Alligator mississippiensis: one gene and its partner. The protein of the gene in region 1 purifies or fractionates together with the protein of each later gene. This does not show direct contact. Links are inferred from orthologs where the notes say so. Each region holds a gene or a part of one and is shown in the gene's direction. Other genes may lie near its edges. The genes, in order: ASXL1 and OGT.

The links.
Region 2: the proteins of ASXL1 (region 1) and OGT purify together in Homo sapiens (affinity purification with mass spectrometry; 3 studies listed by BioGRID and IntAct, with this or other methods). This does not show direct contact. The link is inferred for Alligator mississippiensis from reciprocal best matches to the Homo sapiens genes ASXL1 and OGT.

What each region holds. Positions count from the first base shown.
Region 1 is NC_081832.1:1,413,297-1,428,893, reverse strand, and holds the start of ASXL1 (polycomb group protein ASXL1), read left to right. Parts: upstream 1-5,993; 5' UTR 5,994-6,222; coding exon 6,223-6,282; intron 6,283-10,667; coding exon 10,668-10,750; intron 10,751-10,838; exon of another isoform or gene 10,839-11,595; coding exon of another isoform or gene 11,596-11,699; coding exon 11,700-11,702; intron 11,703-13,635; coding exon 13,636-13,744; intron 13,745-15,597.
Region 2 is NC_081831.1:83,413,050-83,428,646, forward strand, and holds the start of OGT (UDP-N-acetylglucosamine--peptide N-acetylglucosaminyltransferase 110 kDa subunit), read left to right. Parts: upstream 1-7,882; 5' UTR 7,883-7,954; coding exon 7,955-7,991; intron 7,992-12,983; coding exon 12,984-13,164; intron 13,165-14,915; coding exon 14,916-15,159; intron 15,160-15,597. Other genes in the region: TAF1 (transcription initiation factor TFIID subunit 1), read left to right, coding at 1-78, 2,265-2,390, 3,581-3,679, 3,969-4,122, 4,636-4,813, 6,430-6,658. UniProt on the Homo sapiens protein: Catalyzes the transfer of a single N-acetylglucosamine from UDP-GlcNAc to a serine or threonine residue in cytoplasmic and nuclear proteins resulting in their modification with a beta-linked N-acetylglucosamine (O-GlcNAc).

The sequences.
Region 1 (15,597 bases):
ATAATACAGTGTCACATTCTCTCTCCTTCCCCTTTCTCTCTGGCATATAATCTTCTCTGAGACTGTGTAGTTTAAGCACTCAGAGCACTGATGTAAAGTAAATAGTTGCCCAACTTTAGGTAGTCAGATGGATATGCGATATATGTGTGTGTCTTCAGCCAGTATGATTTTAGTGGGTTTCTATCTGAAACTTGTCAACTGAGAATATTGCTTGGGACAGGATTGGCGCATTAGAAATCAGAGCCCGAATTGAACCTGTTCTGCTTTTACTCTTAATAGGCGAGATGGTTGATATGTCAGAAAGCCCTGCTTTTAAGTTCCAGAAATAGTTTATCAAGGCGAGAGAAAGGGAATGAGGTGGACAGATTTTAAAATTGCCTCTTCAGTCACAGTATTTAAATTGGAACAGTGGTAAAGACGTGGCTGGTGAATGTACTCGCAAACAATCTCGGGTGGCTGCCAAAGCTTTTGGCCTCTCACACTGACTGAATTACCCCTTGACCAGATCCTCGGTGGCACTGATATTAGGATGAAATGAATGCATTGTGTCTTAAACTGTACAAAATGTGTAAATCTTGCGTTGACGTGACCCCTCCAGGTCTGTGCCTCTCTGCAGCATGTGGCTATTGTCCGAACCATCTGGGCTTCCTGCAGGTAAACAACCAAAGACGACAGGAAATTTGCCCAGCTCCTGGATGAGGTCCTAGGAGAGTGTGTGCAATCATAGTCTCTTCATAGGAGTGTTTTTACATCCTTTCAACCTTTGCTCCGATCTGTATAACTGGGTCCAGTTCTGTTTCTCCAGCTAGGCACAGTAAAGCTCTTCTATTCCAGAGTCAAATACTACGCAAAGCAAAACACACAAGAATGAAAGCACTTTCTTAAAATCCTGAATATAGGTCTGATGCATGCTGCTTCCGCCTTCTAAAACACATACTTCTGCTTTAACCTTTTGAATGGTAATGATGCATTATACAGATCCGACTTCTGGGTCAATACAGATCTCTCTGTCTAGCTGTAGTAAGTTCTCCATCACTGAACCGCTGATCCTTTGCCAAGTTTCAGAGAAGCACTGATTGCTGTGACTGTGGACATCTTCTCTACCCTGTCTTTCCACCTCTTGTGTCTGACCATAAAGCCAGGGCTTAATTAAGAGGCCTGGCTCTGTTTCTGCAGTGTTAAATGTGCAAATTAGAAGAACATGCCTGCACAATGCTAAAGCCATAACCGGGTGCTCAGATGGAACTGAACAAGAGCAGTGGTGCCTGTTTGCTCTGCACTGTACAGTGGTGGTTTAACTCCCTATGGTTTAGGCACTTACTTCCCTTCACGTCTTTGGCCCCGTCTCTCCTGTTTCTGGAATGAGGTGCCTGTGAGTGCTCGTGGGCACACCTATCTTTTTTGAAATTTCACAGCTCCTTGGAGACACACTGATCTTAACCTTCTCTTAGGTGACGTGTAGGCAAAGAACATGTCAATAGCTCTGTCCATAGGTTTTACAGCTTATATTTATTTGTATCATCTCTTTTGTCTAGGAATGTAAAAGTGATCCTAAAATAAGATGTGTAATAAAATCAATCAGATTTATTGTATCTACAACAACGTGTCATTTTCTGTTCTTAAACGAGTTAGTAAATAATTGCTATGGGTTTAATGGGACCCGTAGGATATTGTAAAACATCATGCCCTATTTGTTTTTGAAGGAAAAGAATCGGGTGAAACAAGCGTATTACAATTAAACAACGGAGCGCGAATGTGCTGTTGATGAACGGTGTCAGACTGCTAGCCCCAAAGAACTGACATATTGCTGGTATCAGTCATATATGATCTCTACCCCAGGGAGTCCGCTTTCTGGATTCCATTAAAATAAAAGCAGTAGTGGAAAAGGTTAGGGTAAACCTCAGCATTCATTCTCATAATGCACCCCCTGTTATAAATGGCCTAGATTTAGAAGGAAAGTAAGGCTGGAATGAGATGCAATCCCTCATTCTTCTCACTAGAGGGAAATAAGGAGTACCACTACAGTAAAGATTGTAGGGAAAAAAGATGCCTGCCAACAAGCAATATAAAATAAGACAAGCCCTAAAGAGCAGTGACCTCTAGAGGACAGTAATTCAGCTGAGCGTAGATGGTAAAAGTAAGTGTGATGGAGAAAAAGTATAGTGAATACACTAGATCAAAGCCTTCATTCCAGAAGAGCAGCTAAGGGGCTCTAAGCAAGTGCAGGAATTGCGGAGCTGGATTCAAGCATTTGCCTGCATAAGCACAAAAAAGTGTGGTGCTAGTCACTTGATTAGAGGTTTGCAGCCTCACAACTTGTGTGTGTGTGTGTGTACATACAATACATACGCACGTACACACACGTTTCCCTTTTTAGCTTTTTTTAATTACTCGAGAACTTGAGTCATCCTTATGTGCATATAGCACCCTCCTGGATCAGAGTATATTTAGAATCCATATAACAATATACTGTTAACAGGTTGTAATTAAGATTTTTAATATTGTGATTTCAGCCAAATACTTAGAAAGGGTTCTCTTCCCTCCACATGCTTATGCCTTGCCATCTGTACTTCTCAAATTGTGAGAGATGAAGAGCAGTCTTATTATAAGATTATAGGATACAGGCATCCCTGCTTAACGCTGTTTTGCTTAGCGCCATTTCATTATAGCGCTCACTTAAAATTGATACCTGATTTCACTTAGCGCTCAGCACTTTGCGCTATAACGCTCGCGGTTGCCATCTTGGGTCATCGAATACTTTTGGTTTCGCTTGACGTTCATTTAGCTTAATAGTCGGTTTTCCAAGAACCAATTAAGAGTGCTAAGTGTGGGTTGCCTGTACTAAATATATGGCTGAAATAGTTCTCTAGAACAGTAAGGTTTGATTTTTAAACCTGTTTTATGTATTTGTTTCTCTGTTACTTTACTGACTCCTGATGGAAGCTGTGATTTTCTCCGATTTGGAAAAAAAGACTTGGAAAAAGTGAGATGGGGTCGGGGGGGAAATGACACAGATTTTTCTGTGAGATGAAATAATTTCAGTAACAAATGAGTATAAATATCAGTTAAGATTTACAAATTTTACAAAAAAGGGCTTATCATCAAAGAAGTAAGGCTCTGAAAAGGTCTTCTAGGACTACTGGAAGCAAATAACCCACTGAGTTTTAAGACTGAATTTGAAAAGTTTATAAATAAAATGATACGACATAGTGCCTGCAATAGCAAGGAGCTGCACTGGGTGAACCAGGAGTTCCTTCCAGTGCCGTGTTCCTGCAGCGTATACTTTGTAAACGTACTGAGTCTTCAAACATAAAGACACATCCGAAAAAAGTCAATAAAACATGAGGGCATTTGTGCTCTGTACGCTATTCAAGTTTATCGTGCTTCTGTTTTGAATCCTAGATACCAATACCCATTCTCAACTTTTCCCCCTTTTTTGGCAACTGGCCTTTCATAAACCTTTGCTCAAACTAAACTGACGCTCTACTGATGCCGAACGGGCTGACCAGCAATGCAGGTCTTCAAAACAAAAGACAAATGAACAGAAAATAGTCAAATCACCAAATGAGTCTGCCGTATCTCCCACAGTGGCACCTGTACAAAATTCCAGTACTTTAATGCAAAACAGGGCCCCCAGCCTCCTCACAAACACAGACTCGGGGAAGAAACCTGCAACTGAAATTTGAAATGGTGAAATAAAGGAATTGAAGGTTACATTCACTCTGCCACCATTCAGCTGATGACCTTTGCACTGGGGGATCATTCCACGTTCAATAAATAAAGGAAATGGTCCAATAGTTTTATTAAATTTTGCCCTTGTATAGTTCCAGCTCTTTGTCTTAATTAGATCACGCCATGCACTGCTAAGACTGCAGCAAAAGTATTTATTGTCCGCCAGTGTTTTTGTGAGTCTAAAACCATCTCCGTTTGGTTTTGCAAATGTAAAGCTATCCGATGGCTCTCCTCTGCGTGAAATGCACACAGCCTCCGGCCATTCATGACAAATGGTGTCTGGCTCTGGACCACTGCAAATCTGAACTCCCTGAGAGCTTGTAAGCAGGTTTCCTGGCTTTCTGGCTTCTGCAGGCAGGCTTTGCTCCCTGAGGAGCTCCTCAGCCAGTCCTCCCAAATGACAGTCTTTCAAGCAAGCCAAGCAAGTGGAACAAAATCCCACTGTCCTGGCCCAGACACGGGGAGGGGAATCCTTTTGGCTCTGAGCACAGCATAGCTTGGCCCCTGCATGTGGTAAGCAGCTCAGTCCACCACTTGTTTCCTTCTCCTTGGCTTTCTCTTCTCCCTAACCCATCCAAATCCCCTGCAGCGGGACACTCGCAACACGGCTGGCTGGTCCCTCTTAAAGGCACCGTTCCCACCGCTGACCTGAGGGTGCCTCTTCCTAGGCAGCAAACATTTAAACCTATTTGAGCAGGAAACTGGAACAGGAAATTGGACCCAGATGGGCTTGGTTTCAACCAGGATGATGGAGTCTCATCCCATTACCTGGATGAGCTTCTGTCTTTCCTTTGTTCCCATGGGTTGTTTGCCCCCAGCCTCCCCTTCTGCCGGTCGTATGGTCCTGCCGCCTTCTCACGGACCCCTCTGGGACCGTCCCTTCCCCGCACCGCATGAAGGGAGCTCCAACCCGCTGACCGCTACCATCGTGAAATATAACAGAGCAAAATTCATACAATACGACATAATACAATGTAACATAACGTAATGTAATATATGATACACTATAATGTAATGTGATCAGGGATCCTGGTTTTCTCTGATAAAAAAAGTCCCCAATTTTCAGGTTAAAAAGTCACCCCAAATCCACATTTTTCTGCGATTAAAATGAAAAGGCTGCTAATACATAGATAAATCTCTAGAGATAGATCTATAGAGATGATATGTGTATATATATATATATATGCATATATATATATAGATGTATACATGTAAGATACAGATATATCTATATAGATATATATAGCTATATCAATAGAGAGATATCAATATAGATATAGTTATATCAATATATAAGTATATATCAATATAGAGATATCTCTAGAGATATATATCAATATATCTATATAGACAGATACATCTCTACAGATATAGATCTTTATCTATCTATACATATAGATATCTAGAGAGATGTATAAATATATATATAATAGTGTTTCATTTTAATCAAGAAAAAATGCAGATTTGGGATTACTTTTTTTAACCTGAAAATTGGGGATTTTTTTAAACTAGAGAAACCCAGGATCCCTGAATATGATACAACATAGCAGGATATAATGCAAGATAACATAAGGATGCAATACAGTACATTATGCTATGTTATGACTCAATATAATATACAATATCTGACACAATACAACACACTATGCACATATTTGCACATTACATTATGCAATTATATAGCTAGCCTATATTAAATTATGCATTGTGTGTATGCGTATATATATATACCCACAAACACACATATATATGCGTTTGTGTATATATATATATACACACATATATATATATATATATATATATATACACACACACACCCCATGCATCATTTAATATTATGCATAATTTTATATATATATATACACACACACAGAGAGAGTATGCATATTTTTATATATATCTATATCTATATATATAGATATAGATATATATATATATATACACACATACACACCCACACCCCCCTCCTGCCACTGCCCCCCCGCGCCGCCCCGGCCGCCTCCCCCCATCCGGGAGCCGGACACGCCGAAAGGGCCGCTGGGAGGCGTCCGGGGCCCAGCTCCCAGCATGCAAGGCGGTGCGCGCGGGGTCTGCCGGGAGCCGTAGTCCCGAGGCGGGCGCGGCGGCGCAGAGGCGCGGCAGGACTCGCGCTCCCAGCAGCCCCCGCGGCTTGTTTTCCTTCGAACGGGCCCGTGCGCCGCGCCCCGCCCCCTCCCTCTGCCGGCGCAGCGCGGGGGCTGTCTTGTCCCGCCGCGGCCGCCGTCGCCAAGCCCCTCCTTCCGGCTGCGAGCCCTTTGACCCCGTTGTTATGTCGGGCCCGAGCTGCTGCCGCCGCCGCCGCCGCCTCCTTCTTCTTCCTTAGCGCCCGGGAGCCGCCCCCCCCGCGCCCTCCCCGCCGCCTCACGCCGCCGCCCCGCGCCGCCCCGCCCCACGCGCCTAACGGTCCCGCGCCGCCTCCCCCTCCCCCCCCCGCGCCGCCGCAGGAGGAAGATGAAGGAGATGAAGCAGCGGAGGAAGAAGGAGCGCACGTGGGCCGAGGCCGCCCGCCTGGTGAGGGGGCCCCGCGGCGCGGAGGGGCGGGGCGGGGCGGGAGACCAGGCCTGCCCTGCCCTGCCCTGAGGGGCCGCGCGGGGCCTGAGCCCCGCTCCCGTCGGCAGCGTCCTGAGCCCGGCCTGCCTCGTCCCGGGCGGGAAGCGGGCCCCTACCCCGGCTTAGGTGCGCGCAGGCCGTGTGTGGGCAGCGGCGACATCTCTCATTCAACCCCCCCAATACATTCAGGCATATTTGTCTGTCCCGGGCGCAGGAAAACGCCGCTCCGCCCGCCGGCCCGCGGTCTCCCCGCCAGCCTTGTAACGGCTGTTTTTTGGGGACAAGTCCTGAAACTTGTGTTTCTCAGTTTGGGGGGGTCCATCCATCCGTCCATTCAAGGTGTCAACGTGTAGAGTCGATATTTGCTCTGGCAGCGCTGGTGGGACGGTGCTTTCTCTTGGAAATAACTGGTTATTTCTCAAGGCCGGGTGTGCGATTTAAAGAAGAAACTTCAATCTGACCATAAAATGATCGGGGTTTGCATTTAAAAGGAAAAAGGGAGGCAGGAGCGCACGTTGGAGACCGGGCTCCGTCCCCGAACTGTTGATCGCGTCGCCTGCCCCGGCTGCGCTGGCGCGGGCAGGGGCACAGGCGCGCTGTTCGAGTGCATGGCTTCTTTTGCGCGCCCCGTAGTGCTCACAGTTTCTGCCCTCTCCTTTTAACGCCGGCGGGAAGAGGAGCCCCTTGTTGCCCGGTAAACCCCGTGGAGCTGTCGGACCGCGGGCAGGGCCGGGTCCTGCGGTCTTCAAGCAGGGACTGGTGGAACAAGGTCGGTTTCCTCCTTGAAGCTGTCATTAGCGCTGGGTCGCAGATACGCTTGCCCTATTTAGGACTGTGAAATCCTAGGGAATATAAACTTTCATTTCTGCCCTTTTACAGTCTTTCCTCCGATGCCTGATGACGGGGGTTTGTGCCCAAAAGCTTGCAATTAAAGATGTTTTTATTTTTGTTGCAAAATTCGTGTTGGTCGAATAAAAGATAGCATCTCTACCACAAGTCCCGATTGACGTTTCCTCTGGACCGGTACGGCTGCCGCTTGGATGCCTTGCCATATTTAGCGTGTTGTGTACGGACAAATATAGAAAAGACGTACATTGCGCTTTTTTTTTTCATCTTTGGCATGGTTTATATTAGGGTATATAAATATTAAATGGGTGGTGTACGATTGCTTTAGATCAGTTTGGTTTTAGCGTCCAATATGTTGAATGCATTTTAGAATTTGTTTTTAAATACTGCTTCTGAAGGGAACTTGCTCGGTCAACAAAACGCTCCCAGGACCGATCGCGAACGGAAAGGAAATCTAACCTTCTGGTAGCTCTTGGGGAGGATCGTTATTTTTGAGCCCGTGTAATTTCTGCTCGTCTCTAGCGCTTGAATCTGAAGTAGCGGTTGGGGAACAGTAATGCCAGGTCCATGCAGTGAAGGGCTTTGCCCTGCGCATCCCTGTTGCAATACTAATTTTATGGATGATGCGCTTCCATACGGGCTCTTAGGCGACTGCTGGCGAGTGACCCAGAGATGCGGAGTAAAGGCTAAATTTTCTTGCAAAACGCTTCTTCCGCCCAACGTACTGAGTTCTAATGGAGACCTGCTTGGTATTCGGGGGCTGCCTCAAAGCTACAGCGCAAATAGGGCAGTGAGCTGTTTCGTGGCATGTGGTCTATCAGTGAACCTTTGCACACCTGTAGTTTCTGTTACGTCCCTCTTGGTTAGAGCTTCACCCCTCTGTATGCCGTGTGCCTGAGGTCTCTAAGTCCCAGCAGCATCTTTGTTCTATTTCTGGTTTGTCATTGGCTCAACCTCATCACAGATTATCCATTTAGGGAGACCAAGTCTTGCCTAGCTGAGTTCCCGGGTTGCAAACTCCCTTTCTAATTGATTGGAAATCTATTAAAAATGGATCTTTGTTCAAGACTAGGCTGCTTCATATGCTACCCATCAAAATGCTTTTAATATGACTCTTTAGTAGTTAGCGTTACATTTTGTATTCTTTTAGGTTGCTCCCCTGGATGGAAAGCAAAAGTGCTTTTTGGTGCCGCGTATTGTAGAGCTAATGTTTTGTGAATTCTGTAAAAACAGTATTTTAACATTTAGTTAATGATGTAGAACCGCAGGGAGTGTTCAGGACAGATCCTGAGGCTAGCAGGAGGGTAATTGGAGGAGTACCACAAACATTCACAATTCTGGTACTGAGGGGTTGGCAGGAACTGGAAATATTGTAATTATTGCTTTTTGCTTCTTGGGGAAGAAATATCCTGCTTTGTTCCTGAGTTATTCCTGCTCAGACTTGGTTCATGATATAGCCATGGCCTGTCATAGCCGGAGGAAGAATTTCTCCAGCATTAGCAGGATCCTTGAGGGTAGGAGAGCATCCGGCAGTCTTCAGCTCCTGCATTAAACAGTGAGCGGTACACCTGATACAGCTGGGAGCTATGAATTGTTCTCCTGAATAGGAATGCTCATTCCTGGAGGTAATTCATTCATGCCTGGTTGTGGGCTGTCCCTTGTTGATTGCCTTTGAGTTCGGTGTCCTGGAGGGGGTTTCCAGAAGTGTTGCAAGCAGTGGATGTTTTCTGTATTTCTTACAACGTGCGTGTTCTGTTTCACACTTGGCGCTTGAATGGTGCATGTCCCACAGGAGATGCCCTTTCCTTCTGCATGAGGAAGGGTGACAGTTTCTGCAGACAGCACCAAAGGTGTACACCCCATTAGATCTTATTAGTGTGGACGAATGTTACAGAGCTGTGCTGGCTGAGAATTAAAATAGTTTACTTTCTTTTAATCTAGCTTGTTGTTTTCCTGGATTCTTTTCTTTAGACTCCAGTGGAGTTTTCATTGTATTTAACTGTAGTTTCACCATTCCCAACTTCCAGTCCCCTGCCAAGCTGACAGTACCACACTTGGTATATTTTCTTTTCCAAATGTGTTCCTGTCACACAGTGGATGTGATTTGGTTTTGCCTTTTAGTGAGAAGCGTAGGCAGACTTTTAACTGCAGTATGACAGTAAAGCTGTGTCATTCAGGTTGGGCTTTTTCTTTCTTGACAGAGGCTGGGAGGTAGTGGTAACAATAGAGGTGGTGACCTGTGCCACTTTCTTGCAGATAGTTTTGTTCATACAGCTCCTCATATTGAAGGGAGAGCACAGCCATTGCTCCCAACAGGATGCTGCAGTGACTCTATTCTAGATGTTGCTGACAGAAAAGAGGGCCATTTGTTTTCTCCACTCATTGCTTGTACTAGATGAATTGAAAGACAGGATCATGTTGCCAACTTGTATATAGAACTGCGACTACTGGCATCTGGATTTCATGTCGCTGTGATCGTTACGTTGGGGAATTTTGTGTATGATTACTAAACCAGCGTCCCAGAAAGAATAGCCGTTGCTGCTGCTTTTGGGTAGTTCAGGACATGTATTGCATTTTACATGAGAATTGTTATACTGGATCAGACCAGTGGTCTGTCGAGTTTGGATTCCTGGCACTAATGGTGGGTAGTATCAGCTGCTTCCAAGGGAGGGGCCAGAAATCCTACAGAGTAGATGGTTATGGGTAATATGCAATGAAGGGGAGTTCTTCCTAAGTCCCAGGACGTAGAGGCTAGCTTCACTCCTGAAATAAAGGCTTACATCCCTTCTGTAACTGTACCTGTACATGTTTCCTATTATTGTGCATACCTAGTTATTGCTCTAAAATGCCCACTCCTTTTTATTTTTATTTTTTTTAATTCAGCTAAGTTGTTGGCTTCAGTGATGTGTTGGAGCAGTGAGTTCCACAGGTTAACCCAGCATTGTGTTGGAGAAAGCAGTTTGTTGACTTTCACTTGAACTGACTCTCCCTCCACCCTGTTTCATAATACAAGAAAAAAAGAAGCTCTTTCTTTAGACCTTTTTTTTGTTTGCTTGTTATTGTATGCCCTTTTCCATCTCTTCTCTGATTCACTTTCTCTCTAAGGTAGCCTCAGCCTTTTCAGTCTTTCTGTGCATACATTTTTCCTGTATCTAATTGTTCCCGTTCCCTTTCTCTGAACCCCCTCTGCCTTACTTCAGTATCCTGTTTGAGATGGCCAATATAAATGAATACGGTATGCTTCCTACTTTGCACAATAGCACTTTGATTAGTTAGGGACCTTTTGAGGAAACAAGGCAAGACATTTGCAGCTGTTTGAAATGTGCACAGATCATCCATGTTGTCTGCTCCTGGGGCGGCCCACGTTTTGTAGCAGGTATCCTTATGGAGGTGGTAAATTCTGGGAGGTCCATACTTGTATTTTAATCCCAGTTAAGGAAGCAGCTCTGTGAATGTGAACAGAAATTGTATGCTGAGTCCGGGGTTTTTTCTCTCTTCAGGTGCTGGAAAATTACTCTGATGCTCCTATGACCCCGAAACAGATTCTGCAGGTCATAGAGGCTGAGGGACTAAAGGAAATGAGGTTAGTATTGATCTTCTTGTCTAAAACAAAATGTGTGGTATGGGGGAGGGTGGATAGAAGGGGCTGGATTTCTTAGTGCAGCTCTTCCTCCTTTCTCTAACCTGTCTTTTTTCCTTTTCTCTTCCTCTGTAGTCTGATTGTCTAGCATGAGAATGTATTAGGTCATTTTCTTTGACAGTTTTGGAGGATTTTCAAGTTCATTGGAACAAAAGCACTGACCCTCTGTGCCTTTTAGTGGAGTTGCAGGGATTTTGTAAAATACAGTAAATGCCAACTGCAGATCTGTTTCTCACATCAATACTTCTCCTTTGCATGTTCCTTTTATAAATAAATAACTAGTTACTAATACTGGGTCCGAGCTTTTACAATGAGTTAAAAAACTTTGTCTCCATAAAGCTTCCACTTCAGAGGATGTACCACCCCTTTTCCAGGGGTCAAGGAAGGCACCTCCCTTACATAAGCAACATATTGAGCTCCCTTCATTTTCCAGCACTTGGTATATTAGTACTGCTGTACTTTTTGTGGCCCCTGTAGACTGGGAATATGGAAAAGAGGTGCACCTCATTGTATCTTTGACCTGGAGAAAAACCTGAACCTGACCCAAAAAAATCATAGGGATGGAAGACCAAGTGTCATCTGGGATTAGTCCCCTGGAATTGGTTTTGTTATAAAGCTGAAGGGAGATGCACAATATTTGGCAGGTCAGAGGAAGGAGATGTTTGCTACCTCTGGTGCTGCAAGCTCCTTTACTTGTGCAATGAGTTGAAAGTCACCAGGATTGATTACTGGTAGTAGCTCAGCCTGTCTTTGGGTGTTGAGTATTGATTGACTCGCGCGGGATATGAATGCTCTGTGCTCTTCTAATTGTATCTTTTCCCCCCTCCTTGGTTCCACGGACTGTTTTCCACCATGTTGCATACATCGCTGTTGAACCTCTGCGTGACTATAGAAGGTAAATGAATTCCTTTGGGACTTGGTCATTCAAAATTTTCACTTGTTTCTGCTTCTCCTTCCCTTTGAAATTAGGAACCAGTCATGATGGTTTGAGTAGTGAAGAAGGTTGTAATTCAAACAGGGGTGTAATATGTAGGAGTTACTGTTGTTTGAAAAGGGACTGTGCCAGCTTGCAGTACGGTGCCTTCTTGGTACCAGAGCCATTGAAGCACCCACTCATTTAGGTTTCTTAAAGATTTCATAGCCATTAGGGCTGGAAGGGACCTCGGAAGATCATCGAGTCCAGCCCCCAAAGAGGAGGCTTTTGGTGGGACTGGACATGGGCAACAATGTCAGAGCATAGTGTGGAATAAAAATGGGCTTAGATTGAAAAGCTTTGTGGTTTTGCCCTGTTTGGATTAGTTACTCATCTAGTTACTTCCTTTGTTCAGCCCTCTTCCCTATGTGGGGTCTGTTGGCATTAGATTGTCCCTTGTGAATGGCACCTTTTCCATGATAGGCAGGTAAAAGCAGGCTTTGCTAAATGTCAGCATTTAAATCTTGGGTTAAATTAATTTGTTTAGGGATTGGTGATTTTTCTCCAAGGGATTTCTGCTTCCATTTGCCCCATCATTGGTTTTATGCTACAAAGAGCAACTGCTTTCTCTCTCTATCATGTAAGTGAAAGGACAAGCATTTGCTACAGATTCAATGATTAAAATATGGAGTGACCATTACAAGCAGAGATCTTGTCTAGCTAATTGTCAGGGTTTGAGGGACTTCCCAGAGAAATCTTAAGTCTTGAAAGAAATAGCACAGTGACTCAAAGGACCCTCTTCCAGATGAGTCAGTCCTGATTCTAACAGACACTTGGCTGTATTCTTCAAGAAGTGCAACAGTGGTTGTTAGTGGCTTATGCTTGAGCTGGGGCTTTTGGGGCCAGCCTCTTGGCTAAATTTTAAAACCTGCAAATGTTTTGAGTTCTCTCATTCTCAGCTGCAGCTTCAGCTGGGGAAGTTACACTTTTTCCACTCTTTGAATTTCTGTTGTGTTGCCTGGTAATTTATTTACCACATTCGTGTTGGTGCCAGGGGAGAAATTGTGCAATAGAGGAGGAATCGGAATTTCTTCATGGTATATAAAAGCAACCCATGGTAACTTTGCTTACTTTCCTGTGTAACAAAGAAATGCCTGAAAACAAACATAGTCAAAATGAAACCAGAAGCCGACTAAGGCTGGTTTTCAGTTTGAGAAGCTGAGATCAAATTGTTTGACATTTTGGACTGAAACATTTGGTCTGATACCAGTTTCAGTTTCACTTTGAATAACGGTGAATTCTGCATTGCTTTTAACATCTCCTCTAAGTAGCTCGTACCCATATGACTGTGGAAAACATGACACAGTGGTGTGTGGCACAAAGGTGTCATCAGCGGTGGCGTAGGACGGCTGCTTTGCTTAGAAGTGACAAACAACCCCTGAGTCCTGTAGGCCACCTAGAATAATGGCATTAAAGCCCTCTCAGTTACAGCACCTGGGCATGTATTCTGCTGGCGAGATGTATAGTGCAGGAGACTATTTTGGAAGTGTTTGAGTTTGGAAAAATGTTGTACCTTTGCTTACAAAACCAGGTTTCCTTAGCAACGTTGGGCCAGTTCAGAGGAACTGTAGAAAGAAGAAGCATCTTGTGTTAGAACCCTCTTAATATGACCTAGGGTGACTTGAACATTGACATAACAAGCTGTTTCCCTTGTTCGCTGTGATATGCCAAGACTATGCCGTTCAGAAAGTAAAACAGTAATTGGTTTTGACTGGCTGAAATGCATTTCCATAAAGTTTGTAACCATCCTCTCTACCTGCTGCTGCTGGTTTAAAGGGGAAGAAACCAGTGGATGGCATAGTGCATTCTCTAAACTGGGGTTTAAATCATGAATCCTCTTTCTTTCCATTTGCAGTGGTACTTCCCCCCTGGCCTGCCTCAATGCCATGCTACATTCCAATTCAAGGGGGGGTGATGGACTCTTTTATAAGCTGCCCGGACGTATCAGCCTTTTCACACTCAAGGTAAACTGTGAACTCCCCTCTTCCTATCTGGGGACCAGTCGCATATCTAACTTGCTACACAAAGAGGTTGATGTTATAAAGTATATCAGCTTGACGTATCGGACACAGTAACTTCTTGTGAAATAGTCTCTGGGCTCGGGGAATTTTTGTCTGCCTCTGCCTAAGATGCTTATGATAAATTTCAGTTTTTTTAACTCTTAAATTATACAAGCAAGGCAAACTTCTCTTACACCACTACTCAGAATGCCACTCTTTTAGTTAATGCAGTTATGGGATGATAGTGCCCTGTCAACATGGTAAGACCTCTGTGATTCCCTTCCGGTTGTTGAAAAAGGGCACAGTCCGATTGCAAATAACATCTGTCTGAAAGTATCTAATGTACAATTACTTGAAGAAGTTAGTGTGTATTTTCTCATTTATTTACCATTACACAGTTTCCCTGCCACAGTATTCACAGTTGTGATCCTTCTTGTCCCTGAAATGCCTAGCGGTTCTACCTGAAATCACTTCCCAGTCAGTTTGAGTTGACAGTCCCTTTCATTTTAAATGTAGAGGATATGCCTAAATTCCTCCATTTTTAGTGCTGGATTCTCTACTGTTAAGGACAGGCGAATAAATGACTGACATCTCAGATGCTCTTCTCTCCCCCATCTTTTCTCTCTTCCTTCAAAGATGCATTATGTTAATTGCCATTTTATGTCTGAGAATAGATCGAGTTCCAAAGTGTTTTTATTTGTCACACGTGTAATCAATTCAAATGAATGCTTCAAGCGTGGCTGCTCAGTAGCTGGCTGCTCTGACACTGCTGGCTCTTTATCTCTAGAAGTGAAAAAAAATTCAGTGGCTAAATACTGTCATGCAGCTTTTCAGTCTAAGGATGAATCACTTTTTTTTTTTTCCTGAATGTTAAAAGGAATAACAAAAGTTACACATGGACAGATCCGACCAAACGGTGTTTGTTTTACATATTTCAGGTGTACTAGAATTATTCTGCTGAAAAGTATTCATAGAGCATGCTGGTTGTTCAGTTCTTGTATCTGAAAAGTCTGTATGGGGTTAACTTAATTAAAAATTATGGTACTGGCTTCTCCACTAGCAGCCCAAATCTATTTAAAAATCCCTCTCTTTATAAAGGGGAATAAAAGGCAAAAGAGGGAAAAAATGAGAACTGCTACATCTTCATTGCTGCCTTTTGTGTTGGCAATGGGACACACAATAAGAATGAAACTAGGGTGCGTGCTACCAAGACGGGAGTGGGCCACAGTTAGAAGGAAGAGCACTAATGACACGAGATACTGAAATTGTCTGCTAGCCAGATAGGGAAGAGCAGCTATTCCTTCCCCTGCTCCCACTAGACATACTTGCGTGTATGTGCACGCACACATGCACACACACAGATGAGCTGCTTCATGTATTTAGCACTGGGAGACGCGTACTAGAATTTATGAAATACCAGGTACAAAAAGCTAGTTCAGTGGATGGGCTTCTTTCATAGCAGGTCAAACATGCTTTCATTCAGCCTGGAATTGTATCTCCAGCATATTTGTAGACACAGTTTGTGCTGTTGGCCTGTTAAAAATTGCAAGAGGACGTGTGGGGTTGTCTGCAGCAGCGGTGACCAGCCTTTTTTTGGTAGGTGTGCCACAAGTGAAGCCCCTCTCTCCCTGAGTGCCACTCTGATCCTCTCCCCTCCCTCAAGAGGCATACCCTGAGACAGCAAGAGGACTCAAGTCTGGCCACAAGTGAAACAAGCTCCAAGCCTGGAGCAGCAGCAGGATACTACTGTGAAGCGAGGTGTCAGTGCCAAGAGCAAGGTTAACCCTTCCCTGGCCCTGCAAACACTACAATTTTAT
Region 2 (15,597 bases), on another chromosome or scaffold:
ACCGCTAAAGAAGCAGCACTGGAGGAGGCAGATTTAGAAAGTCTTGACCCTATGACTCCCGGTCCCTACACACCTCAGGCAAGTGTAACAAAGCAAGATTTTGCTGTTCCTATGTCTGTCATTAACGGTTTGATCCAAAGGAACCTCTTGTTGCCTGTCCCTATTTCTTGCAGCAGTTACTGACACATGGCTGTTTGATCATCTAGGCCATTTCCAAGAGTCAGAGCAGGATTATTGTTTACTGCACGCACCGGAACGCATGTCCAGCCTAGTTCTAAATAGAGTAGGCTGCTTCTAAATGCACTTGAAGAGAATATTCCACACCTGAGTGCGTCTGTCAGGAGGCTGCTGCATTTACTTCTTGCTTTTCATTAATGATATGACTCATTGTTATAGCCACATGTACCTCCCTGAATTCATCTCTTCAGACCTCGAGTTTATGGGGTGTGTGCCCCCATATTTAATTGTTGTTTAGTCGAGCCTTATACATAAAACTCTTTCAATTTGTCCTCCATAAGCCAGTCCTTTCAGCCTCCTGAATTCTTTTTTAATTAATTCTGGATACCTGAAACAGGAAGAGCTACAACCCCAAACACAAGCAACTTACTACGCTGGTTACAAACTGAGATACGCGAGTGGAGGGGTTTAGCTGAGAGCTGATTGGCAGCATTGGGGCTGTCAGTAATAGTCAGAGATGGGCAGAGAAGACCGAAAAAGACATGAGACAGCAAGAAAAGCACTACGAACATGACCTTAAGAATTTTGGGTAGGGTGCTGGCTGGAAAGAGGCTTAAAACTGAGTAGAGAAACTGCCTCTTCACTTGTGTCCTACAGTGTTGAAGAAAATGTGACGGTATTCTTTGCATTCCTGTTTGTTTAGATATTTTACCCTCAGCTTTTCCACCTAATGAAAACAACCCTTTCGAATTCTGCAAAGCCCTTGATTTTACTGTTTTGTGCCAGAGATATCTACAAACAGATCATGTTCTCTGAGTGTGTTGACAGCCTAGGTCTATGCCTAATGTAGTCTGATATTTCGTTGCCAAGCTTTGATTGCTTGGGCTGAAAATTTCCATGCTGAATTTTTTTAAAAAGCATCAGCAAAAAGAATTCAGCTTTTTCCAAGAACGAGATTTGGAAAAATGTGTATTACTTTGCCCATATTGAAAAAAATTCACAGCTAGTTGGCTGAAAGTTCAGATGCCTCCATGCTTTGTAACAAGGACTTGACTTAAAATGTAATGATGGGGGAGGGTCATCCTGGTATTACGGGTGTATCTTTTGCTGTTCCTCTGGAAAACATGCCTAAGTTGGGTCGAGTTCATAAGTCTTGGGGGGGGAAAAAAAAAATCTGTCCCCACATGCTCAGTGGACATTGTTTTAGAGAACTTAGCTGCTATGTGTTGAAGAGTGCTGCACGGCCTAAGCAGGACTCTCCCTGCAATTGATTTTCCTGCTGCAGATAAGTAGCTTCTTCCTTTACGTAGATCTAGATTGACTATACGTGGAACATTGCATCTAATTCTGGGTGCTGCAATACTAGGAAAATGGAAGGACAGAGTAAGTTTGGTGATTGAGTTAAGGGCCTGTGCAGATTATTCTAAAAAGGAAGTTAAACATTCAAGTTAGGTGAAGCCATTGGGGTGTATATGGAGTATTTGGAGGTAATGGACCACAAGTGTTCTTTGGGTATCTAGTCCAAAACAGGGAATAGAAATGATTGCAGATAACAGGGAAGGAGATTTAATTAGGAGTGATGGATGGATTTAAGAGGGGAGGATATTTAGGCTAACCATGGGTCACTTCCTGGCAGTGGGAAATCTCAGGTTGTGGAACTGTCTATAAAGGAAGTTGCTGAAGTCCCAGTTATTGAAACATTTAAAACAAGATTAGATGGTATGTAGGCAGCTGAGAACCATTGTGATTAGTCGGGGAAGGAGAGAGAAAATGCCATCTGTCTTCATATCTAATATAATCTCCACAACAGTTTATTTCTATTTTCTGAATCTGTCCATTTTTTGTAATAAGATTATTCCTATAGAAGTAACAAGTTGTGGGTTCTTTTACCATTTTTAGTCCAATTTTTTTCTTTTTCCTAGGAGTAAATTACTATTTCTGATTATTATAGTGTTTTATACTGAGAACTAAACGCATGCATTTTTTAAGCTAGTGAAGTTCCAGTCATGCTTTCCTCCTGAGGTCTTCTAAAGCTTTGATTTGGCTTTTGAGAGAGTTTTTGTTTCCTGTTTCCTCATGTACTTTAGCCACCAGACTTGTATGATACCAACACTTCCCTCAGTATGTCACGTGATGCTTCCGTCTATCAAGATGAGAGCAATTTGTCTGCCATGGATACTCCTACCACTACCCCAGAGAAGCGGGGTGCCCAGGTCAGATTTCCTCCATTCTTTGGTAGAGAGCTAGGTTATATAAGTGCCTTTTTCTAAGGAGGCAATTACTCTGTGGGACCCAGAGGGGAAAAAAAATATCTAGCTTTCACCTGGAGGTGGAAAGCCTTTGAGAAAATGGCATGCTTTCCTTCCTTGTGGTCATTGTAAATGAGACAGAAACACTGGAAAAAGGCAGGTGTGTGCAAGGCCACTGGCAAAATATGTTTCTCTGTGGCTGTGAAGAGTAAAAAGTGATAGGGGACTGTCTAGGGCCACAGGCCTTCGTTTGCTGTAGCGCTAGGAAAACAGGTAACCTGGTCAGTCCTGCTGCAGAGCCCTGAAAGTCGGTGCCCTTTAGTTTTGAATAGGGCAAAGGAAGAGTAATTTCCATGGGGTGGAAGATGATAATTATTTTATTGTGTTGAAATGCACAAGAGGACACATTTGTTGCCACACTCTTATATTTAAAAGACGACAATGGGGGAAGCAGTGGGGATTAAGGATCACAATGCATTTCCAAATTAGCTATGGTGACGCTGGGAGCAAGTTTTGCTAGGTTTTTTGTTTTTGTTGGTTCCCTCCCCCCCAATTAGAGGCTAAAGATGGAGCGAGGGAGGATGAAGAGGAGGATAAATTTAATGGAAAAACCTGGGTATGAAGGGGGAAGAGGGCATTGAGGAGAAAGAAAGAGAGGGCAAATGACAAGAGCAGAAAGAGTGAGAATAGCAACAGAGCAACTGATGGAACAGGCAAGGAAGAAAGTTCAGTGCAGAATGTAGTATCGCTCGTATCTGGGGTTCTAAAATGCCTCCTAGTAAGCAGTATCTGCACCTCTGGGGACAGAATCTGTGCATGTTTTCCCATGCATGTGGCTGTGGCTGTAAGCTGCTGAACCAGCCTACTGACTTTGAGGAAACGAGGCCCAACCACAAGTTCTCCTAGGACAAATTGCCCATCCTGTAATAGCTAGGAAGTAGAGAGGAATGCCTGCCTCGCTTTCTTGTGACCTCCTTAGAGAAGAGTGTAGCAGAAGCATCCAGGAAACAGATTTGGTTAGGTCTTGAAGTTCTTAGGAAAAAGAGTCCCTGTTCCCAGGGTATACTTCTATTGTGGTCTGGATGTCAGTCAGACTCTTTCTTCTGACACTAGTGCCTCCCTCAATGGTGTTGCTATTTGTGTTCCTCATTCAGATGCGCCAGGGACGAGGTAGGCTGGGCGAGGAAGACTCTGACGTAGATATTGAAGGGTTTGATGAGGATGATGATGGGAAACCTAAGACTCCAGCCCCAGTGAGTATATTTACAGAAATCCCATCTGTAGTCCACTTTGTTGATCTGCATCCTCATAGTAGAAGACTCCATAGTGCAGGGCAAGTCTGCTGGGTCTGGCACCTGAGTGACAACAGAATTCACAGCAGTGATTAATGAGATTTATCTGTGGTCATGAAACAGTCAGCATAAAAACAAATGACTGAATGTATTGTTCATTAATTGTGTCAATTAGTAAGCATGTACCGGCTCTGGCAGTAGCTTATGTGATTTTTTTTGACCTGTGCCATTCCTGTTGTGTGTGACACAGGAAGTTGAAGATGCAGATGGTGACCTTGCTGATGAAGAAGAAGGCTCAGCCCAGCAGCCTCAGGCCAGTGTTCTGTATGAAGATCTGCTCATGTCAGATGGAGAAGATGATGATGATGATGGGAGTGACGAAGAAGGCGATAATCCTTTCTCATGTATGTTAGGGTCTTGACGTCAAAGGTCTGAGCAGGAAATGGCTGTTCCCATCCCAGCCAACCTCCCATGTCCTTTGATCACTGTAGCATATATTCTGGCCTGGGATAGTAGATATTCAGGGTACTGAGGTGACAGAGACCAGATGTTTACAGCCCAGTTACCTACTAGATAACGACAGCAAGCAGCAAGTTGCATGAATTTTGGGTGTAAGCCAAGATGAAGTGGAGTAGAAGTGAAATGTGTGGACTCAGGAAACAGAAGCTTAGGCAGGATCTGACGTTTCTGATTGATAGGGGAGCTCTGAAGGATGGAAGGGAAAAGACTGAGGCTCAGGTCGGTTACTGGGGTCACGTGGAGCTGGACTGGGCCAATGGTGTAATGAAAACACAAGTGATTTAGATGGGAAACAGGACTTTTTCTTGCTGTTGAAGCTTTTGGCTGTTAAAACGGGACTGAGAATTAGGTCATTAAAAAGAGGTCAAAAGTAATCGGCAAGTCTCTTTGTTGCACAGCTATCCAGCTAAGTGAGAGTGGCAGCGATTCGGACGTGGAGTCCAATGCAGTGAGGCCCAAGCAGCCTCACGTCCTTCAAGAGAACACACGTATGGGCATGGACAATGAAGAAAGTATGATGTCCTATGAGGGAGATACTGGGGAGACATCTCATGTGATGGAGGACAGTAATATCAGGTAATCAAAGCTGAGCTGTAAAAAAAAACCCAAACAAACCACTATCTGCTGGAGAACTAATTTATTCCAATCATAAAATCATAGAACTAAATTGTTCCTCTGTTACTTTTTTTTAAGGTAGTGGTTCTCAACTTTTTTTGGACTAGGGCCCATTTGTAAACATCAATGGCCAGTCTGGACCCAGTGCCCCTCACTCCCAACCCTGCCCCCCCAGTGTGTGGGGTGCATGGAGGGCCCCAAGCAGTCCCTTGCAGGCTGGAACTCTGCCAGCCTGCAAAGGAAAAGCCATGGTTTCCCATGTTTTTTCTCCTTTAAAGGAGAATCCATTTTTCAAGTTGGTTCATTCATTTTTAAAGTTTGTTCATGACCCTTTCATATGTTCTTGCGACCCACAGGTTGAGAAACACCGTTCTAAGGCACTTACCTTATGCCCCTACTAGGAGAGCACTGTAGAGAAGACCAGATCATGGTGGGGTTTAACTCTTTAATAAAAGAATAACCACTTTGTTACTCTTTTATTAAATTAAAATTATTCTTAAAATTTTATTAATGTTCTCGTTGCTGTGAACTTGGTTCTGCTGTAGGTACCTCACCAAATTTAAAAAAACCCAAACCCCACTAATTACATAGAAAAGAAAAAACGTGGTAACGCAAGGTCAAATGATTCGTAGCTTTAACATTCTACTTTTGTGTACCGCCTGGCCTCTGCCAGACGCGCAGGTAAAGGTGCAGTAGGATCCAGTGCACAATCCACACAATTGCACTTCCTGCTATGCCACACATGCCATCACACCTTATTGCTGGTGCAGAGGGAGCCCAGGATCATGATCCCAGGCTTTCCCTGCCCCAGCAAGTAGCAAGTGTAACGTGTGGCGAGGGCCTCTGTTAAAGAGCAAAAAACTCACTCATGTGGACAGTCTTCGACAATATTAAATGCTATTATTGTGGAAAGAGTTGATTTTTAGGAGATGAATTTTAGGTCCTCAGATTCTGTTTAACTTAATGCTTTTTCCCTTTAAAGGACAAACAGGTAAAGGCAATACGAATGTCAAAAGAGAGGAAGTGTACACAGTGCATCTTTTGATAGCAGTTCATTTGCCTGAAAATCGGATGCATGGTGTATAGAAGATTGCCCCTTGTAGACCCCATGTTCTTTGTCTTGGCTTGGCTTTCTTCTAGCCCAGCAGTCAGCAAACTTTTTAGGCTTCAGGCTGCAATGACCCAGCTTGGGTCGGAGGTGGGTGGGTGCTAGAAGCAGTAGCAGCGGTTGGATCTGCTACCAAATACCACCAAAGCCCCACATCCATGGGCCAGATCAAGTGGTTTCACGGGCTGGGCCCAGCCCATGGGCCATAGGTTGCTGCTTCTTCCTCTAGCTGTTCTGTGGAGTTGTGAGGCTGGGTGCTGTTCTTCTCATCATGCTGTTCAGGGAGCAGGAAGGGAGGGATTCCTAGAGAGCAAAAGTTCTTACACTGGGAATTTTTTTACTAGTAGAGAAAATGAGACCTGTTCTTGTATGGGCCTTTTTGCCTTTGCCATTGGGGTCCAGGGAAGAGTGTCAGTGTAAATGAACAGTCAGAAACATTAATGTAGTAAGATTTCATTTTTTCTTTCAGTTATGGCAGCTATGAGGAACCAGATCCCAAGTCCAACACACGAGATACCAGTTTTAGCAGCATTGGAGGGTATGAAGTCTCGGAGGAAGAGGAGGAGGAGGAAGAGGAGGAGGAAGAACAGCGTTGTGGGCCCAGTGTGCTAAGCCAGGTTCATCTGTCTGAGGATGAGGAGGACAGTGAGGAATTTCATTCCATTGCAGGAGACAGTGACCTGGACTCGGATGAATAAGCTTCCCAGACATCCTCTGTTGCTACGGCATGTGTGCACTCGTGGTTCACAGGGGTCCTGTGTGCCCTTTCAGACTCACGGACAATGCAGTCTGGGATGCGCGTTTGAAGCACCTGTTTTTTCTTGGATAGAACTTCTATTTTAATGAGAAGTCTGTTAACTACGTGAAATAATGTACAATAGTAATCTAAACTGTGAATGCCAAGCTTTGGGAAAAGTCCCCTCCTGACATCGCTGAACAGCTGTGCTGGTCATCAGTTACAGGAGTCAGCTCGAGAATCCCATGTTCTGGCTTGTGCCTCCTCGTTCTTTCCAGAGACAAAACATCCTTACAGATATTAGTGAGTGAGCTGGAAATTTAGTTTTTGGTGCGGTTTGTTTAATCGGCCTTTACACACTGTCAAAAAATAAATGTCTGAAAGTATCCTGTAAAAGAAATGTGAGTAAACTTTTGTTAAAAAAGATACATGCATGGCCCGTGTATCTTTGCAGAACTGTGGGCAGACTCCGGGAGCTGTGCTTTTCTCCAGTGTTGTATGTCAGATCAGGTCTCTTCTGAACTTCCTTGCTCGAGGGGTTGCTGTGCCTGGAGTTGCTTAACTGCCAACCTCCCTCTTCCTCCGTGGAGCGGAGAAACCCCCCGCAGGGGGCACCACGTGACGGGACAAGGAGTAATGTGGCAGAAGGGAAAAACGTTCTTGCCCGGCGGGGGGCGAAGCAGTGGGCCAGGTCAGACGGGGGCCGGGTCTCCATCCCTGAGGCGTTTGGGACCCGACCCAGAGGACGCGGCTGGGGCTGGTTCTGCTCTGTCCAGGTGCGGGCCCAGCGGCGCTGGGGGCCCGAGCAGAGCCGCCCGGCCCAGGAGCTCGTGCCGCCCCACTCGTGAGCGGGGCCGAGAGAAGGGTAAGGGGTGCTCCCAGCAGGCCCCGCGCGGCAGTGACGCACCCGGATGTGGCCGCGGGCGCCATGTGCGGAAGGGCGGCGCATGCGCGCTGGGGCCGGGATGTCGCAATGGGCAGGCGGAAGGACACCATAACAAAGTGCTGCCGCCCCTGAGGCCTCGCGCTGCCCGCTCGGCCCTGCCCGTGGGATACCGGCGTGGCAAAGGCGTCCAGGCTTGTCCGGCGGGAATTGGGCCGCTGCTGCGCGGGACGCTGCGTGCAGCCGGTGCTGTGTCCTGCTGGACTACTTTGTGTGCCGAGCTAGATCCGGCCGAGCTGCGCGGACTCGTCCCTCCGCGGCCGCCATTTCGCACCGCGCGGAGCGCTGCAGCCGGAGCCGCCGGACCCCCTCGCCATGGCGACCTCCGTGGGCAGCGTGGCCGACAGCACAGGTACGGCCGAGCGCCGCGCCTTGCCGGGCCGGGCCGGGCCGGGCCGAGCCGAGCGTCCGCCCCGCCCCGCCCCGCGCTTCCCGGGGCCCGGCCGGAGCTCGCGGAACTTTCCAGAAGGCGCCGAGGGGTCGCGGCCTGGCCCCGCGCCGCCGCCTCGGGCCCGGGGCCCGCGCCCTCCGCCTCCCCCGCGGTCCCCGTGTACTCGGCCCGGCGGCGGGGTCGTGCTGGCCCCGGGACCGCCCCAGGCCGCGGCGCTTGCTTTGGCCGGCGAGGGCGGGCCGGGGCCGGGGCCGGGCGAGCCTTGCCGCCTCGTGTGCCACGGCTCGGGGCAGCGCCGCGCGCTTGGCTCCCCTCCCCACCTCACGAGCGCTGTTCCAGCAGCGGCGCTGCCCCGGGCGAGGCGGCCGCCCGCAGAGGATCGGCGCGCAGGGGCGGGCCGGGCGCTGGCCGGGCGTGGAGGTCTTCGTTCTCTGGATCTGGCCTCATTGTGCCTTCTTATTTTTGCAAGGGACTCAACAAAGTCAGTCCTGAGGGAACGTTTCATCTGTTCTTTACTAAAAAAACCCCCTTTCCTTCACAGATAAAAATAGAGCATCTTTACTTTCTTTCCATATATCTGTTACTGTCTTCCTATTCCATTTTTCATCTTAACATTGCACTTGACTTTTCAGGTTAAGTATTATAAGGCGATGCTTATTTCTTACCCGAATAGCGTGTATGGCCAGTCATCTGGCAGGTTGATACGCTGTTAGCTTATATCGAGAGAGATACTGAACGAGGAAGATGGCTTATTTTGCATCGGCTTCATTTTCTTTGTGGTTTTGCATCTTCAGCAGTGGGGGACTGCTTAATAAGAGAACTTTAAATAACATACTGGATACCAGCCGTCTAAAGGATGACATCTGGGCCAGCGGTAGCCAGGAGAGAGAAGACTGAGGAACGTTATTATGACAGTGATTTAGCGAGCCGTCATTCCCCTCTCAGCTTGAGGTCCTAAGAATGGTGATCCTTCTCGGGAAATCTGGCCTTCATCAGGGCCTGCAGCGAGTAGATCTGATAGGAAATGGTGTTACACTTGCCCTTAGTTTTTGGTTTTTTCTGGTATAGTTTCAGGCCCATCCTCTTCTCAATGTTTTCCCAAGCTGTGCAGACTTCACCGTACCTGTAGTTTGGCAAAGCATGAACAGTAGGAGATGTGCTGGAGTTGTCCTCAATTTAGTCTCGGAAAAATAAAGAGTTCAGTTTATCTCCATGTATGAACTAGAAAGCTCATTTTAATACAGGTAAACAAAGACCATCAGTTTGAAATAGTTGATTATAAATGAATAAATGGCTTCAGATACTACTATGCCTGATGCCCTTTGCAATGCCCGGCCTCCACACACTGTCCACTTCAAAGTGTGTCCTATTTGTATGTGAAGAGCTGCACACATGCAGGGGAAATGAACTTTCTGGAATTTCTGTAGTACATAAATGCTTTGCTGGAATACCCCGTGTTGAGGTCTCTTATATTGTAGAGGATTTTCCAGCGTTATATTCATGCCTTGAAACAACAGCCAAGTTAGGATAGGAATGTTTATTGGGGTAACTGAAACAGAAATGCCAAAAGTAAACAGCAGAAATAAAAATGTTGTCTAAACTTTTGTTTCCTATAATCTTAAAGCAAAAGTCCAGAGGTAAGGGAAGAGGCTGGGGACCTGGATGAAAACGTAGTAAGGGGAAGCAATTACAGAAGCTGTAGCAATGTTGGGGGGGGTGGAGATAGGATAGACGGGTACCAGAAATATTCATATGCCAATGTGAGAAGTATGGGAGCAAACAGGAAGTGTTTGAGGTCCTAGTACAAACACAGAATTAAGATGTAATTGGGATTATGGAGATGTGGTGGGATAGTTCACAAGACTGGAATACTGTCATGGTTGAGTATCAGTTGTTCAGGAAGGACCGGTGAGGGAAGAAAGGAGGTGTTGCTGTATACGTAGAGAAGACGTGCATGTCTCTGGAAATGCGGCCCAAACTGGAAGGGAGGTTGCCAGTCTTTGGATGAAGGTCACAATACAGCTGCAGGGTGAGATGTCATGGTGGGTGTTGGTTACAGGCCTCCAAAACCAGGAGGTTCCAAATTGCAGGACTTGTTTCTCATGGGCACTCTAAATTGTTGGTATCTCTGCTGGGAGGGAAGCACAGCAGTGCATTAGCAGTCCATCAAATTGCTGCAGTTTTGGGGATAACTTTTTGATACAGGTAGTAAAGGGGCCAGCTAGGGGAAGCTGTTCTTGACTTGCTGCTCACAAACAGAGGAATTGGTTGAGAATGTGAAGGTGGAAGGTAACTTTGGTGACAGCATCCATGAAATGATGGATTTAAAGGATCCTAAGTGGAGGAAGGAAGGAGAGCAGCAGAACAAGGACACTGGAGTTTAACAGGAACTGGTGAACAGGATCCCCTGGGAAGCAAGTCTAAGGAGAAAAGAAGTCGAGAGCTGGCTGTACTTCAAGGAGGCCCTTAAGGGCCTGAGAGCAAGCGATCCCAATGCGATGGAAGAATGGGATGTGAAACAGGAAACCAGCCTGACTAGACTACACTCTCTTCTCTGAGTTTAACTCGAAAAGGAATCCTGTAAGAAGTGCAAACTTGGTTGTAGTACTAGGAAAGCGTATAACAGTACTACTTATACCAACTGCATCCCAAATTGTGCCTCGCAGGCTTGCGGGGAGAAAATTAGGAAGGCTGAGGCACAATTTGGGATGCAAGCTGGCAAGGGATATAAAAGGCAGTAAAAAGTGTGTCCAAAGTAAGAGGAAGACTGGAGAAATCATAGGTCCCTTACAGAAAGCAGAAGGCAGTCTAGCTGTGGAGGATGTAGAGAAGGCTGAAGTATTTAATGCCTTTTTTACTTCAGTCTTTACAGATAGGGGCAGCTATCAAATGATGAGTACCGTTGGCAACAGGTAAGGAAGGAGGTAAACAGCCTAAAGCAGGGGTGGGCAAATCTGGCCTGCGGTGGACTCCATTTCCCAGCAGCCCCGTGCAATGGCAGCTGCTGGTTGCCACTGCCAAACCCAGCCCATCCTTCCCACCTCCACTGCTGGGATGGGACTCGTGCAGCTGGGAATGGGGCTGTGGCCAGGAGTGAGATGGGCAAGCAGAGGCAGGGAGAGCATGGGATCTGGGTGGGGGAGGGGGAAAGCAGGGCAGAGCTGTAACCTGCTGCCCGCATGCCCCTGCAACAAGCATGGGTTGTGTAGGCAGCAGACTGGCCCTGTCCCTGTGCTGTCACTGCTGCAAGATCCCAGTCCTGGAGCAGCTCCTGCCCACACTGCTCCATGGAGACAGGCTGGGAGCAGCACAGGCAGGGGCTGCTGGGAAATGGAGTCCAGCTACTGCCTGGATCTGACATTTTGCCCACCTCTGGCCTAGAGTAATGGCAGAATATGTTGGGGATTATTTGGAGAAGCTGCTAGACCAACGGGGGCCAAACTGCCTTGCGGGCATGGTACTTGTGGCTCTCTGGAAATTGGCTGAAGCCCTGCCCACTTCTCCCTGAGTCTGCTCCAGGGGACAGCACAGCCTGGCACCTCTCACCACTCTGGCTTTCCTTGTGGGGAGTGCACTAGATAGAATTTAGGTTGGAGATTGGGAAGATGTTTCTGACTATAAGAGTGGTCAAGCATTGGAACAGGCTGTCTAGAGAATTTGTGGAATCTCAGTCCTTGCATGTTTTTAAGACATTTGGCTGGGATGATCCTGCCTTGAGCTAGGGATTGGACTAGGTGACCTTGTGAGGTCCGTTCTGGCGCTGTTGTCCTATGATCCTGAGAGTCATAACGATAATACAGTATCTTCCAAAGGAGTTTACTGGGGCAAACTTTCTCTGGGATGAGTGGATTGATTAATCTCTGCTTAACAGTATAGTGTCTGTGTTCAGTCTAGAAGTCTTTTCTGTATCGGGTAACTGCCTTTGGTTTTATGACCAAGTAGAATTGCATTATATTTGTCTCGGGCACGGGTATTTTTAAAAAAGAAATCTTTTAAATCCCACTTTCTAGCCTAAGTAACCACTTAGAATGAATACCATATATTCTGGGGTATAAGATGCACCCCTGTATGAAGTGCCAGTTGTGGGGAAAAACTTTCAATTGTATTTATTTAATTTTTGTTAACAGTTATTAGTTATTACAGTTTGTGTTACATAATTGGTACAGATGGCATCTTCATTGTAGACTTTCCTCAGGGAGGGGACAAAATATGCTTTATGCCCTGGAAAATGTAATAAGTCTTTACTTACTCCTTTCTTTGAAGGCCTGAGAGAACACTGACTATAGTGCACGCTGCAAGACAGTAGGGACAAATTTATTTGTTTTAACGTAGTTTGTATTTCTGTTCTGTCTTATTTCTTGAGTTCTTTGCATGAAATCCAGATCTACTGTTCCTTCTGTTTTGCTTAGCTATCTGTTAAAATCAGATGCTCTGCTTATGTTATAAACAGGGTTTAGCTTTAAGTAAGAGGATAAGCACATTTAGCCTGTGCTCATAACAAGGTTCCTCCTATGAAAAGGAAGTGAAATATTGCCAGAGTCCCTTTAAAAGAATTCCTTTGTGTCATATCCCTAAATCTGTTTACTAATTTGGTAGCTTGTATCTTATTTATTTTTCTGACCCTTACAAAAGGGGAAGCAGGGGATGGTGACTGAAGTGGTTCTGAAAATAAGGGATCCTGTTTATGTTGTAGATTGTAAACTCTTGCATGCTTTCCAATACAGAGTGAGAAGGGAATTGTCTACTGTGAACTAAACACATATGTTAATGCTAGAAAATTACTAAAACTAGGCTGAGCTCAGGATATAGACATTTAATGTGTCAGGCACTCGTGCTTTATGTAGCTTCAAACATTTTCATCCTTTAATTTTATACACCATATTTTTACATCTTTTTTGTTTCCGTTTTCTAACTTTTTGTTTTCCCCCCTTAAATGTTTTGGTGATTCTCCAGAACCAACGAAACGTATGCTTTCCTTCCAAGGGTTAGCGGAGTTGGCTCATCGTGAATATCAGGCAGGAGACTTTGAAGCAGCAGAGAGACATTGCATGCAGCTTTGGAGACAAGAGCCTGATAATACTGGTGTGCTTTTGTTACTGTCGTCCATTCACTTCCAGTGTCGCAGGCTGGACAGGTAGGGACTTGAAATGTGTCTTCATATTTTTGTGTTGTCAGTATATTGCTTGTGAAAAGAGAAGTCTGCTGTGCAGCTGTGAGAAATAATGCTCTAACTTCCATTTTATTTAAACTTTCATTTGTGTTGCTTCTTTATGATGGAGAGGATCAGCGTATTAGTCACAATCTGGTTCTACTGGACTTTCTTAATGGTGAAAAGGTCCTCAGTTTGCAGTTGTTGGCTATGTAGATCTGGTGCCGCCCCCCCCTGCTTCTCCAGAGTTTCAGAGACTACATGAATGGAAGTTAGAAGATGTTTTTTCAACTGCTCTGAAAAGGCAGACTAAGGAACCTTGAAACAGTTTTTATTAAGCTGTTTTAAAGCTTTGCTTTTGTGCCTAAAGTAACCAAAGAGTATAGACATATATATTCCTTTAAATGGATTGCTTTTAACAGTGTGACATGATGTGAAGAAAAGATTTCTAAATGTCAGAATTCAACAAATAGCCATGTATAGCTACTAGGTGCACTCAGAGGCACTTATGTTATTTGGTGTTCCTTCGTGCTACTGCCACTTTCACTGGCTGTTCGACTGCAGCACAAGGTGTTTGTCTCTGGTTGTGTTGGAGTGATGTTGTAGCCATCGTGCTCCAGGAAGTATGTGAGGGGCAAGGATTTTTGTGGGTGATAACTTTTTATTGGACCAACTGCATGGCAGGGGTAGACTTAAACAGGCTTTCAAATGTAGTACCCTAATGACTGGGATTCATTTTACATACCTTATTTAAAGTTTAAAAATATTTCCCAGGTACAGGGGGGAAAAACACATTCTATATTTAGTTTTCCTTGCTGCGTGTTACCTCCTAAAAGGAAAGCAGGGAGCATGTTAATTAAGGCTCCTGGCACACATTCAGTTGAAGGTGCAAATGGATCTGTTCTCACGTTGGAAGAGTTGCACTTTCTGCCTTGCACGTGTGGCATGGCAGGACGCATGGTTTTGCGATTGGGGATCAGATCCCAACCCTGTCATTAATTACTACTTGTTGGTTCCCCCTTACACTAGCAAGTAGTAAGGCAAGTGCCTAATGAACTGAGGTGAATCAGCTGATTGTTATCTCAGCCCCAGGACCTCAATGGACCTGGTTCAAGATTCCAGTACAGTCCCAAGACAGACTGGCATTCAGTTCATTATAGGTCCCAGCTGTAGGACTGTACTGAGGCCAGTCCCAGAGCCCAGCCGTGCAGCCTGTGTTAGGCTCCATAGTGGAAACGCTGCTACCCGTTCAGTATAAGGTGCAATGGACACCAGCCACAGAATATTACACACATTTTGTGGCTTATTTTCTGTTTAATCATGCCATTGATTTCCTAAACAGATGTCTAGGTTACTATTTAAGTTACAATCAACAAGTTAATTGCATCTTAAGTGTAATGTCTGCCAGGGACCTAAGTTGAATGCAGTGTTCCAGAGACCACTGTTGGTGAAAATTGTGAACAGAAGTCCCGATGTCCTTTGGAACGATAGTTGGCTGTAGGCTTGAGCATATGCTAGAAGCCTTGCAAAACTCTACATAAAGTAGGTACTTCCTCTTCAGTTCTCATATAAACTGTCAGTGCTCTGAGGGTAGAGTAACTGATCTTGCGCTAGAACAGATTCCATTTTCAGGATTGTTTGGAAACTTGGGTTTAGTTGTTTTATGTATTTGGCTGTAAATCCCAGTAACTGGAAAACAAAATTGTTTTTGTGTTAACCTGTTTAATCTTCTCCAGGTCTGCTCACTTCAGCACTTTGGCTATTAAACAAAACCCATTGTTGGCCGAAGCCTACTCGAATCTAGGAAATGTGTACAAGGAACGTGGGCAGCTGCAAGAAGCCATTGAGCATTACAGACATGCGTTACGTCTCAAACCAGATTTCATTGATGGCTATATTAATTTGGCTGCTGCACTGGTAGCTGCTGGTGATATGGAAGGAGCTGTACAGGCCTATGTGTCTGCCCTTCAGTACAATCCTGTAAGTAACACTGTTTATGGAGTTCCCTTTTTTTTTTAACCTAACCTTCAAGAAGATTTGCTACTTCATAACAGATTTGTCTGCTTTTGGATTATGCAAGTGCTTGCAGAGTAATGAATGATGCATCCTTGGCTGTAATTCTTAAAGCCTGACCTTCATAAATTCAAAACTCTTTTATTTGTAATTCTTGAAAGGTAATTTCTTCCTTCGTTTGAGTTGTCTGTGTGAATGCATTCCTCTTGGAATTCTGTTATGCTGCTAGTTCTATGCTTGTCTTTGTAATTGGTTTAACAAAGACAGGAATATGGGTGTCCCCCCTCTGCCCTGTCACTTGGACTTTTCTCATCTGAAACTGACCTTGATATTTTTGACCTAATTGGAAGAAATCAGGAAGGGAATGAGGAGAAATTGATGTCTGGTTTGAGAATTGGGAAAGTT